3 linked regions of the Oryctolagus cuniculus genome follow. The protein of the gene in region 2 binds, or shares a complex with, the protein of the main gene of each other region. Links are inferred from orthologs where the notes say so. Each region holds a gene or a part of one and is shown on either strand. Other genes may lie near its edges.

Region 1 (4,063 bases), on a different chromosome or scaffold from region 2:
AGTAAGTTGAAGTTTAAATAGCAATAAAGATATAAAGTGCCTCAAAAAACAAAGTCTTAGGGGCACTGGTAGCATAAAACCAAGAGCAGGAAATAACTTTATACATATACCTACTTTCAATAGGTGGCTTTGGTCCGCTGACTAAAGCTTCCGTGATCTGAGAAGCAACTGAGCTGTCGAATCCAGAATTGGAAGAATCCGGGTCTGGGTCACTGAGAATACTAGGGAAGCTGGCTTTGCTTTGGGTTGGCAATTCAGACTGGCGTTCTGGAAAAGGGTACAGGAGGAAACTTGTAAAACCGAGGGCACCAAGAGGCAATAGAAAAGACAGACTAACCGGAGGAAGCTGTCTGCAACACACCAAGATAAAAGGCCAAAGGGCCAGACTCTGTGTATGCATAATATATTCTTAAACTGCTACAAATCAACTTGGAAAAAAACAGGAAAAGTTAGACTAATGAACAGGCATTTTACAAGGAAGCTTAAGTGACTAATAAACAGTTGAAGCTATTTAATCCCATAGGAACCTAGGGGAATTCAGTTAAAGCACAGGATAACACACACTCACCAGGACTGACCAGTTAATGAGGGTGTTATTATCAAGTGCAGAGGACATAGGGTCACACACACTGCTCCTGGGGATGAAAAAAGGCATGGCGACTTTGGAGGACAGTGTGACATTACCTGCTGCTATGATGTGGATTTGGTTTATCCCCCAAGGGTCCCCAAAAGTTAGAAGGTGTTATCAGCTGGGTCCCCAGGGCCTAGCAGGAGATCCTTGGGTCACTGGAGATTTGCCTTCAGAGGGGATCTGGATCCCCGGGACCCTTGAGTTCTCAGGAGAGGGTTACTGTAAAAGGGGCAAGCCTGGCACACACGCCACACCTTCACCAGACCCTGTGCCACATAAGCTTTCAAAACCATGAGGTAAATACACTTCTCTTTCTAAGGAACAGGTGTGAGGTATTTTGTTAACGTAGCAAAAAGCTGAGTAACACACCTAGTGAAGTGTGACACGTGCCTATCTTTCCAAGAGGAAACACAGGAGTCTTGGCAATGCTCGCAGCTTAAACAACCGATATCCTACTGCACGAACATACCAACAGCAGTGACAGGCAGCCACGGCAGAGACTCGGCGCCACCCTGCACTCCGAGCTCAACACTCAACAGGAGGAGAGGCCCAGTGAGGAAACCTGTACCCAGTGCATGAAGTAGGCAGGGGCGGGGGGGAAGGCGGGAAGGCCGGCAAGCAAACGGAGACAGCGTATCATGGACGGACGTCAGGCTAGTGATGGGGGGTGAGGGGGCAGCAGGCAGCAGCCTCCATTCCCTAACCTGGGCTGGCCGCTGCTGTGGTTTACCGCGTGACAAGCCCTCCAAGCAGCTGTGGTCTGGATTGTGTCATTTTAAACAAAGAAGGCTCAATCCTCATTAAGGAGCTACAAAAGTCCATGAAAGACCATAAGGCAAATGGAGGAAAAAGCCCAGAGACATAGAAAGAACCCTCAGAACACACATCAGCTAAGAGGGGGAGCTGCCTAATGCTGCCTATCCCCTCGGCACCAGCCAGTTTTCATACTATCTCTGGTTAAGGAAACCACCATTTGCTTTCTAGTAGATCATATCTGGCACTAGAGGCTAACGAGTATTTTTGTGTTCCTTTGGCCTTCAAAGTCTTTAAGATTTTATTTATTTGACAGGTAGAGTTACAGACAGTGAGAGGGAGAGAGAGAGAAAGGTCTTCCTTCCATTGGTTCTCTCCCCAAATGGCCACCATAGCCGGCGCTGCACGGATCCGAACCCAGGAGCCAGGAGCTTCTTCCGCATCTCCTACAAGAATGCAGGGGCCCAAGCACTTGGGCCATCCTCCACTGCCTTCCCAGGCCACAGCAGAGAGCTGGACTAGAAGAGGAGCAACTGGGACTAGAACCCAGCACCCATATGGGATGCCAGCGCTGCAGGCAGAGGATTAACCAAGTGAGCCACGGCACTGGCCCCAGCCTTCAAAGTCTTAAGAAGATTTCTCTTGCTTTCAGAAAATAACCATTGGTATACTGATATACTCCAGTTAAAAAGTGCTGTTCAGACTGTTCCAAAGAGAAGTAAGTTACTACAACACGTGGCCTTGTATTAGAAGCCCAGTGTGTGCTATATGGGGTCTGAGGATAGGGCACTGTCAACATTACTCTGCAGCTCACTCACAATATCAAGGGTTTGCAAATCTAGTGACATGTTACAGTTGCCCAAGTGAGAAGCTGGTGCTGTGGCACAGCGGCCAAAGCTGCAACACCAACATCCCATATGGGCACCGGTTCTAGTCCCGGCTGCTCCTCCACTTCCGACCCAGCTCCCTGCTAATGGCCTGGGAAAGCAGTAGAAGATGGCCCAAGTCCTTGGGCTCCTGCACCCACCCAGCGGAAGCTCCTGGTTCCTGACTTCAGATCAGCTCAGCTCCAGCCATTGTGATCATGTGGAGAGTGAACTAGTGAACTAGTGGGTGGAAGACCTCTCTTTCTTTGCCTCTCTATAACTGCCTTTCAAATAAATAAATAAATCTTTAAAAGTAATAACTGCCCTAGTAAATCCCTCTTGCGTGACAAGAGCTGTGTTGTAGAGTAGGCAAGCAAAGATCCTCTGATTTCTCAGAACTCAGACAGCCTGACCCTGAACAGAAGCTACAGCAGGTCTTATTATTATTTTCTGTCATCACCCACTGTCTGCTTCAGAACCCTCATTCATTTGTTTATGTGTAGCACAGAATATTCCAAAACAACCCTGAAAAAGAAGAACAAAATTGGAAGTGTTAACACTTCCTGATTTCAAAAATTAGTACAAAGCTGCACTAATCAAAACAGTGTGGTACTGGCAAAAAAGACACACAAGTACAAACCAAGAGAACACACTAGAAAGCCCAGAAATAAACCCTGGCAAACAGGAGAGAAGGACTTTCGACAAGGATGCCAAGAAAACAGTTTTGGCTCCTTAGGGTCTCTTGAAATTCCTTTGGATTTTTGTTACTTCTGCATAAAATGTTGCTGGGATTTTGACTGGAATGGCCCTGAATCTGTAGATTGTTTTGGGTAGTACTGACACCTTAACAAGTGAGTCTTCAATCACAGGATTATTTTTAATAGAAACTAAACGTTAGCCAGCATTCCTCTACAACGGGAAAAGCAGTCATTTCAAGTGAAAACTCAAAATGTTCTCAGAGGCCCCATTAGCATCAAAACAGGACGTGCCCTCAGGAGCCTGTGCTGAAACGACATTTTTTATGGAAGTAGAGACGCAAAGCTAAGAGGACCAGCACTACCACCCCCGGAGGCCCACGGCTCACCCGCCAAGGCTAGCTGAAGTCCGCTGATGTCCACAGACTGGCCCATGTTTCCGACGTCCATCAGCGCGATCTGGCGAGGGGTCTTTTTGAAGAGTTCCCTGGGCGGTGCCAGCATCAGCTGGGAAAGAAAGAACTTTTCCGGTGGAGTTATAGGAGGTAAAAACCCTGGAAACAGAAACGCACAACAATTTCTCCAGTGGCTAATTTTAAACATTAACCTGAATCTGGTAAAACTAGCATTTGCTATGTGCTACCTCAACCCCCATATTTTTAAAGACTAAATTACAAGTAAGTTTCAATTAGCCAAATAAATACATTGATGACCGGTGTAACTAAATTTGGCATTTGAAAATTCTATGATCTGCGGCACCATCAGCCAAACTAAAGGTTTTAGTAACTATTAAGAACTTCACTTTGGGGCCAGCGTTGTGGCACAGTTGGTAAAGTCACCACCTGCAACACTGGTCTCTCATATGGACGCTGGTTCAAGTCCCATCTGCTCCACCTCCAAACCAGCTCTCTGCTACTGCACCTGGGAAAGCAGGGGAAGATGGCCCAAGTGTTTGGGAAGCTGTATCCACATCGAAGACCTAGAAGAATCTCCTGGCTTTGGCCTGGCCCAGTCATTGTGGCCAGTTGGGGAGTGAACCAATGGATTGAAGATCTCTCTCTCCGTCCCTAACTCTGCTTTTCAAATAAATAAAACAAACCTTTAACAACAGCAACAAA
Region 2 (4,063 bases):
TGTCATGACTCTGTTCAGCATAGCTTCAGACCCTTCTGAATTTGCCATTGCTAGCTGATTAAATTCAACAGTGTGTTTCTGAATCAAGGTAAATCTAAAACAAAAACAAACACACACACACACACACACACACAAACATAAATTGGGATTACCAAAACTATGTGGGAAATGTAGCTACTCAAACTCCCTTAACAGATTACCACTTAAATCAAATTTTGGAAAACCTTCCAAACTATTATCAAGTATCCCACATCCATTTAAAGCTCTTCTCAGTTTGTGACCAACACAAATAACACCTTGAAATATCTTTATAACTTTTTTGGCCGGCGCCGCTGCTCAATAGGCTAATCCTCCACCTTGCGGCACCGGCACACCGGGTTCTAGTACCGTTCGGGGCACCGGATTCTGTCCCGGTTTCCCCTCTTCCAGGCCAGCTCTCTGCTGTGGCCCGGGAGTGCAGTGGAGGATGGCCCAAGTCTTTGGGCCCTGCACCCGCACGGGAGACCAGGAGAAGCACCTGGCTCCTGGCTTCGGATCAGCGCAATGTGCTGGTCGCAGCGCGCCAGCCACGGCGGCCATTGGAGGGTGAACCAACGGGAAAAGGAAGACCTTTCTCTCTGTCTCTCTCTCACACTATCCACTCTGCCTGTCCAAAAAAAAAAAAAAAAAAAAAAAAAAAAATCTTTATAACTTTTTTAAAATCTTATAAGATAATGTAGTCATCTTCTTTTTAGATTTCAATACTGGTATATCCCATTTTGTAATTTTTAAACAATTGTTTCCCAAAATATGGGTTTAGGAATCCCTCTACCATCCTAGAGGAATGTTAACTACATGGTTAGTTACAATTAACAACTGGAGTTAAATCCTAGTAAACACCTGAAGAAACAGCAGCACTTTAAACATCTCTGCAAAACAAGGTTATTTTTAATACATAAAAACAAACTCAGGGCAAGTGTGGTGGTATGGCAGTATAAACTACCACTTTGGAAGCCTGCATCCAATATCAGATCACCAGTTTAAGTCTGGGCTACTCCACTCTGATTCAGCGTCCTGCTAAAGCACCTGGGATGCAGTGGATGATAGTCCAACTACTTTAGTTCCTGCTACTCAGGTGGGAGAAATGTAGGGATTCCTTGGCTCCTGGCTTTAGCCCAGCCCCAGCTGCTGCAGCCATTTAGGAAGTGAACCAGCAGATGGAAGATCCCTCTCTCTCTCTCACTCCACTCTTCAAATATATAAACAAGTCAATCTTTAAAATAAAATAGACTTATTTATTAGAAAACTTCAGTTGCAGACAGGGAGATACAGAGAGATCTTCCATCTCCTGGTTCACTCCCCAGTTGGCCACAATGGCCAGGACTGGGCCAGACCAAACCCAGGAGCTTCAGTCAGGCCATCTTTTGCTATTTTTCCCAGGCCATTGGCAGGGAGCTGGATGAAGTGAAGCAGCCAGGAAGGACACTAATACACCCATAAGAGATGCTGCCATTGTAGGCAGCAGCTTTACCCACTATGCCACAATGAGGGCCCCAATAAATAAATCTTTTTTAAGAAGGCAAAAAATACACCCCTAAATCAATAGCATTGTTTTCTTGAGTAATAAATTTCTGTTATTTATCAAATAATGACCCTTGAGAACTTTTTTCTTTTTAGAAAACAAGATGAAGGGGCTGACATTGTGGTACAGCAGGTTAAGTTGCTGCTTGCAATGCCATGACCCCATATCAGAGTGCCAAGCTGAGCACCAGCTTCTCTTCTGATCCAGCTTCCTGCTCATGTGCCTGGAAAAGCAACAGATAATGATCAGCTCATGAGGGAGACCAGAATGGAGTTCTAGACTCCTGGCTTCCACCTTGTCTAGTCCCAGCTTTTGCAGGCATTTGGGGAGTGCCTTCTCTGTCACTCTGCCTTTCAAATAAATCAACGGTCTGGCCTACAAAATCATTTGGTCTGACCCTCCCAAGGCAATCATAGGCGGGACTTGAAATTCAGTAAATCTATAGCAGGCTAATTGCTGATATTTTTATGGCCCAGGGGGCCTGCACAGTGGTGTAGCAGGTAAAGCCACCTCCTGCAGTGCCCGCATCCCATATGGGCGCCGACTTGAGTACCAGCTGGTCCACTTAGGATCCAGCTCTCTGCTGTGGCCTGGGAAAAGAGTGGAAAATGGCCCAAGTCCTTGGGTCCCTGCACCTGCTTGGGAGACCCGGAAGAAGCTCCTGGACCCTGCCTTCAGATCAAGTCCACCTCCAGCCGTTGTGGCCATTTGGGAAGTGAACCAGCAGATGGAAGACTTCTGTCTCTCTGCCTTTCAAATAAATAAATCAGTCTTTAATTAAAAAAAAAAATTTTTTTAATGGGCCATGAATGGTACTATAAATATCCAAATGGCCCTTGGCAGAAAAAAGGTTCCCCACCCCAGAAATAAATAAATAAATCTTTATAAAAAAAGTTTTAAGATGACTTACTTTTCTACCTTGAAGAATATTGCACAACCATCAACATGTTTTCTTTCTTGTTCTGACATTGTCCTAGCTCGAGACTTAGGACTAAAGAATCCATTATACCCACGTTCTTTCAGTTCTACCAGAAAGAAACTGTAATACTGTTCCGTTTCAACCTCCTGAAAAATGGTAAATGGCAAAGTTATTACACAAGACAAAAATCAGTTCTAGGTACTAACTTTATATGAATAGTTTGAGAGCCTGAAGTAACTCCAAAGGACAGATCTGTAAACTAAAAAATGTAATATCATTTCAACGAAACTTGAATATCTACTTGTCGTTTTACAGATACTAGTTGCCAGGGTCAATTCCCTACTGTTCAGGAGTAAGGAATGGACAATCATATATGCCTATAAATGTCAAACCAATGTGAACTAAGAATCAAGAGTTGAACAGAGCTTCACAGATCACAACTTCAGATCCATGAGGAGAAAGCGACTTGCCCAGGATTTCACATGTCCTTACGAAAGAAGTAATGGAAACCCAATGATAGCACATGCTAGGTCTGATCCTTTGACCACTATGCCCTAATTATTCTGATGACAAGGCAAAATTATACCTTGGCAATATCACAATTTTAATGACTTTGCCATTCAATTAAAAAAGTGTATAGGGACACTGGAGTGAGACAGAAGGTGAGTATTTAGCTGTCAGAGCAAATGATTATAACCCAGCTTAACCTATTTGCTTTGGCAGTGCTGGGCTACAAACCGAAGCAGGTACAGCTAGTTTGTGTCGAGACTGCTGCTCTTCTAATCCAGCTCTCTGCTAATGGCTTGGGAGAGCAGCAGAAGATGACTCAAGTACTTTGGCCCTCGTATCCACATGGAAGACCTGGAGGCTGCTGGCTTCCAGCTCTGGCTGTTACGGCTATTTGGGGGAATGAAACCAGTGGATGGAAGACCTTTCTGTGTCTCCCTCTCTCTGTCTGTAACTCTGCCTCTCATATAAATCAATAGAATCTTTAAAAAAAAAAAAAGTTCAATAAAAGAAGAAAATAGGCAGTATTTTAAGAACCATTGAAGCTATGACTTCAAATGTGCCCATGTACTTCTACCAGTATACCTGAACCTTGCTTTATTAATGCTGAGGAATTTATGCTATTTATTTATACAACTTCTGTACGACTTACCTGAAGGCTTATGATATCAGCATTGCAGCTCAAGATTTCTTGAATAATGGCCTTTTTCCTGTAGTCCCAATTTAATGCCCATGATGGACAATAGCCGTATAACTGCCGGGTCGCATATTTATCACAAAGAACATTATAGCACATGACAGAAAACAAGGCTGTAGGAAAAATAACTTTACTTATTCACACACGTGACAGAAAACAAAAATGTAATTTCAGTAAAACCTTCATGTAAATATTAAGTTTTACTTTATTATTTAATTTAAGTTCTCTGAACAGTTATCGTATGCCAGACAAGGGGGATAACATAAGGAGGAGAGATGATGAACAAATTAGAATGGTAGGTGCAGAATGTTTGGAAGCTAAAAAGACTAAGATGCTGGGTCCTTTACTCTCTAAGACTAACATTCCTAATTTCCATACC
Region 3 (4,063 bases), on a different chromosome or scaffold from region 2:
TGAGAGAGAGAGAGACAGAGAGAAAGGTCTTCCTTTTGCTGTTGGTTCACCCTCCAATGGCCGCCATGGCTGGCGCGCTGCGGCCGGCGCACCGCGCTGGTCCGGAGGCAGGAGCCAGGTGCTTCTCCTGGTCTCTCATGGGGTGCAGGGCCCAAGCACTTGGGCCATCCTCCACTGCCTTCCTGGGTCACAGTAGAGAGCTGGCCTGGAAGAGGGGCAACCGGGACAGAATCTGGCGCCTGACCGGGACTAGAACCCGGTGTGCCGGTGCCGCTAGGTGGAGGATTAGCCTATTGAGCCGTGGCCTCCATTCCTGTTCTGTTCTGATGAACCCAACTAGGGGAAAGTGCACAGGCTCACTGTCTGATTCCTTTTCATGTTTTGTGACCAGGACCTCAAAAATAGACCTTTAATTCTGCCAGACAGCATCATACCAAGGATACCTAGTCTATTCACTTTTTCGCTCTCATATATATAGCAGTTTTACACTTTCACAGACACTTAATATAAGAACTTGTAACTTTCCCTCTGTCCTATACTTGCTTTTTATTTCTGTTTCACTAAGAGAGGTGGAAATAATCAGAAGACAACATCAGCATAGTCTTGCCACCAAATCTTAGTACCTGCTGCCATCTACATCTACCTTATTGTTTTCTTGTTCTCTGTTACCATAGTCAATCCATGCTATTTATAACCTCTTATGAAAACTTAACAGTTTTCCACTCTTAGATGGTATCATTTCCAGCAGCATACAGATACACTGTTACTTCTCTTTTCAGAAGAAAAATTGTCTCTTGATCTGTCTCCTTGAATCACATGTCCATTTCTTTATTCTCCTTTGAAGCAAAACACAAAAGAATAATCTGACACTATTGGTGTAGCTGGTAAGGCCACTGCCTGTGGTGCCAGCATCCTATATGGATGCCCATTTGAGTCCCGGCTACTCCATTTTCAATCCAGCTCCCTGTTGCTGTGCTTGGGAAAGCACCAGAAGATAGCCCAAGTCCTTGGGCCCCTGCACCCAAGTGAGAGACATGGAAGAACCTCAGGGCTCCTGGCTTCAGACTGGCCCAGCTCCAGCTCTTGCGGCCATTTGTGGAGTAAACCAGTGGGTAGAAGTTCTCTGTCTAGCTCTACCTTTTAAATAAACAAATAATCTTTAAAAAAATTTTTCTGTTGAACTCATTCAATCATGGTTTTGCCTCTGCCACTCCACTGATATTAGCCTCATTCAGCTTATGAAATGACCCCCTTGTTGTTAAGTTCAGTGATCTCTTCTAGGAACTCTTCCTCCTTAATACACATTCTCATTTTAATTTGAGGACACCATTCTTACCTGACCTCACTGGTTGACCCTTCTTTATTTCCTTTGCTGATTCTTCCTTTTCTTCTTGACCCTTTTTGGTTAGAGCTCTACATTTGCTCCCTTGGTAGTCATTTGCGGAAGTCTTGTATTTTTAATTGATATATATATGGATATATACAGAATCTGAGTGTATCTTACTATTTTATACTGCTACCACCCTGGTTTGAATCATTATTCTTTGTAGCCTGGGTACTCTGTTAGTCACTCAACAACTATCTTTGATTATCCCTTTCTCCTTCCCAAGCAATCTCCTCTTCATATAGCAGCCAGGACAAACCTTTTTGAATAAGTTGCTCCTTTGTTCAGTACTCAGTAAGAGTTTGTAGTTTCATTAGGATTAAATATCCAAAGCCTTGCCTACAAGGTCTTCCTAGTGATCGTCTTTCCCATCATCCTTCCTCAGCAACTTTTCCCTTCGTTCACTGTGTCACAGCTTCCCTTTTCCTTCTGTGTATGGCAACCATGCCCTGCCTCAGTTGGTGTAGCAGTATCCTCTGACAAGAGCAGTTTTTTGCTCGGTAATTAATATGATTATCTCCTCCTTTTCCTTCAAGTTTTGTTAAGATCTGACTTCCTCAGTGATACCTTACCTGACCACACTACTTTAAATATGCAGCCAGTCTCTTCTCCCAAACCCTCCCCTAACACGGGCAATTATATATTGATCTATTATGCCAATTGTCTGCCTCCCTCCAGTCTGCCATCTTCAATCAGAAAGTTTCATGTTGTTAGTGATAATTATTTGTTCATTGATCCATCTCAAGCACCTAGAACAGTGCCAGACGTATAATAGGCACTCCGTAAATGGTGATTTTGAAACTGCTTTTCATACTGACATTTTATTCCCTGGCCACATAAATGGAAAAGTAGTTTAACTTAGGGGCATGATGAATTCAAAGCATTTTGAATTGAAACAGTTAAAAGCAGAACATTTTTATTTGTTAATACATGGTGTTACTAATGCTGTATGACTGTTGAGGGAAGTAGTCCTATTGTATTTTTCACATACATATTTGTTTTGGTTTCCTGCTGTTTAACTCATACTAAACCCAAGAAAAGGAATTAGAAGTAAAGAGGCTCATTTTATATTTTAAGTCTTTGTTTCTCCTGATTTTTCTGAAATAAAATTAGATATATTTTTTTCTACTTTGGACTTCAAATTGGTTTTTTTCCCCCTTTTTCAGAAATCTCTACCCCAAATTTGCGTCACCTTGGGCATCTTCACCTTGTCGACCTCAAGACATAGGTAGGAGAATCTATTTGTGTTGAGATCTTTTAAAAAGATATTTACAACTGAGAATCAGTTAATAAGGCTTTTTTCATTTTATTATCCAGACTTCCATGTTCCATCTGAGTACTTAACGAACATTCACATTAGGGATAAGGTGAGTGTAGTTTATTATTCTACTCAGTCAGCATGAATTTATTTTCCAGGTACTGTTTTTCAGTTCAGATAGCATAATATTTTTTAAATAATTAGTGTTCTGAGGGGTATGCTTTTGTATGTTCAGTTACATGTAACAATTTTACTTATTTTTGTTTATGCTAATGTTGATGATGTTTTCTATTTTAAAAACAAAACAATGATAGGACTGGTAAGCTATTTCTTGAATTAAATGACAGGGTACAACCATAACCACAGTTGATGGGAATAAGCTAATTTGATAAATTTCCTTCTGATTTTCTCATTTTATACACTTGTCAATAAGAATGATTTTACTTTACACATATTAACAGATTTGGTAATTTTAGTGAAGCATTATATATATATTTTTATAAAGTATTTATGACTTCTGGCTTTTTTCCCTGTATTTTTCTTTTTTTTAATTACCTAAAATTCTAATTGTATAATAATTAATCTTACTCTGTCTTTTTTCATCTAAGGAAAAAAATGCTAAACATTTTTCCTTGGAAGAACCAAGAGAGTTTATTTCTGTTAGGAAAAAAATGGTATCTAAATTTTTGCCTGGTGAAAGGATATGATTTAGTGAGAAAACAGAAGAGAGAGGACTTCAAAAAGTTCATGGAAAATGCACATTTTTTTTCTTTAAGATATATGAATGAAAGAGTTAGAGAGAAGGAGAGAGATCTTCCATCTGCTGTTTCACTCCACAGATGCCTACAATGGCCAGGGCTGGGCAGGCCAAAGCCAGGAGTCAGGTCTCTCACGTGGGTGCAGGAATCCAAACACTTGGGCCATCTTCTGCTGCTTTCCTAGGAACATTAGCAGGGAGCTGGATCAGAAGTGCAGCAGCTGGGACTCGAATTAGCACTCATATGGGATCCCAGCATTGCAGGTGGTGGCCTAACCCACTACAGCACAACGCCTGCCCCAAAATGTGCATATTTTGAAAAAACTATGCATGGGTTTCAAAATTTTTTGCACCAAAATAAACTTACCATCTAATTCTGTTCTGTGAACTTTTTGATGTACCCTCATATTTATGTTATACACATGTGTGTGTGTTTGTATGACAGCATTCTCAGTCTGTGCCATATAGGCAAGTAAAGGAATATGATACCTAAATAGATGGAAAGCAAGATTTATGAGATAGAGAAGCATCTAGTATTTTCTCTTTGTGGAGTATGTGATTTGCTGCTGTCTCTTCTTACTATCTCCACTAAAGATCTCTTTTGCTCCCTTTACCTAAGTTTCTAGACCCTTTTCTTACGCCAATTTGAAAAATGCTAATTTAG

What was found.
Region 1: CNOT6 (region 2) and CNOT11 share a complex: the UniProt entries of both Homo sapiens proteins name them as parts of the CCR4-NOT complex. The link is inferred for Oryctolagus cuniculus from reciprocal best matches to the Homo sapiens genes CNOT6 and CNOT11.
Region 3: CNOT6 (region 2) and CNOT2 share a complex: the UniProt entries of both Homo sapiens proteins name them as parts of the CCR4-NOT complex. The link is inferred for Oryctolagus cuniculus from reciprocal best matches to the Homo sapiens genes CNOT6 and CNOT2.

Annotation. Positions count from the first base shown.
Region 1 is NC_091433.1:107,379,023-107,383,085, forward strand, and holds part of CNOT11 (CCR4-NOT transcription complex subunit 11), read right to left. Parts: intron 3,500-4,063; coding exon 3,335-3,499; intron 268-3,334; coding exon 115-267; intron 1-114. UniProt on the Homo sapiens protein: Component of the CCR4-NOT complex which is one of the major cellular mRNA deadenylases and is linked to various cellular processes including bulk mRNA degradation, miRNA-mediated repression, translational repression during translational initiation and general transcription regulation.
Region 2 is NC_091437.1:66,992,682-66,996,744, forward strand, and holds part of CNOT6 (CCR4-NOT transcription complex subunit 6), read right to left. Parts: intron 3,798-4,063; coding exon 3,640-3,797; intron 2,627-3,639; coding exon 2,472-2,626; intron 95-2,471; coding exon 1-94. UniProt on the Homo sapiens protein: Poly(A) nuclease with 3'-5' RNase activity.
Region 3 is NC_091442.1:72,884,974-72,889,036, forward strand, and holds part of CNOT2 (CCR4-NOT transcription complex subunit 2), read left to right. Parts: intron 1-2,550; coding exon 2,551-2,612; intron 2,613-2,701; coding exon 2,702-2,751; intron 2,752-4,063. UniProt on the Homo sapiens protein: Component of the CCR4-NOT complex which is one of the major cellular mRNA deadenylases and is linked to various cellular processes including bulk mRNA degradation, miRNA-mediated repression, translational repression during translational initiation and general transcription regulation.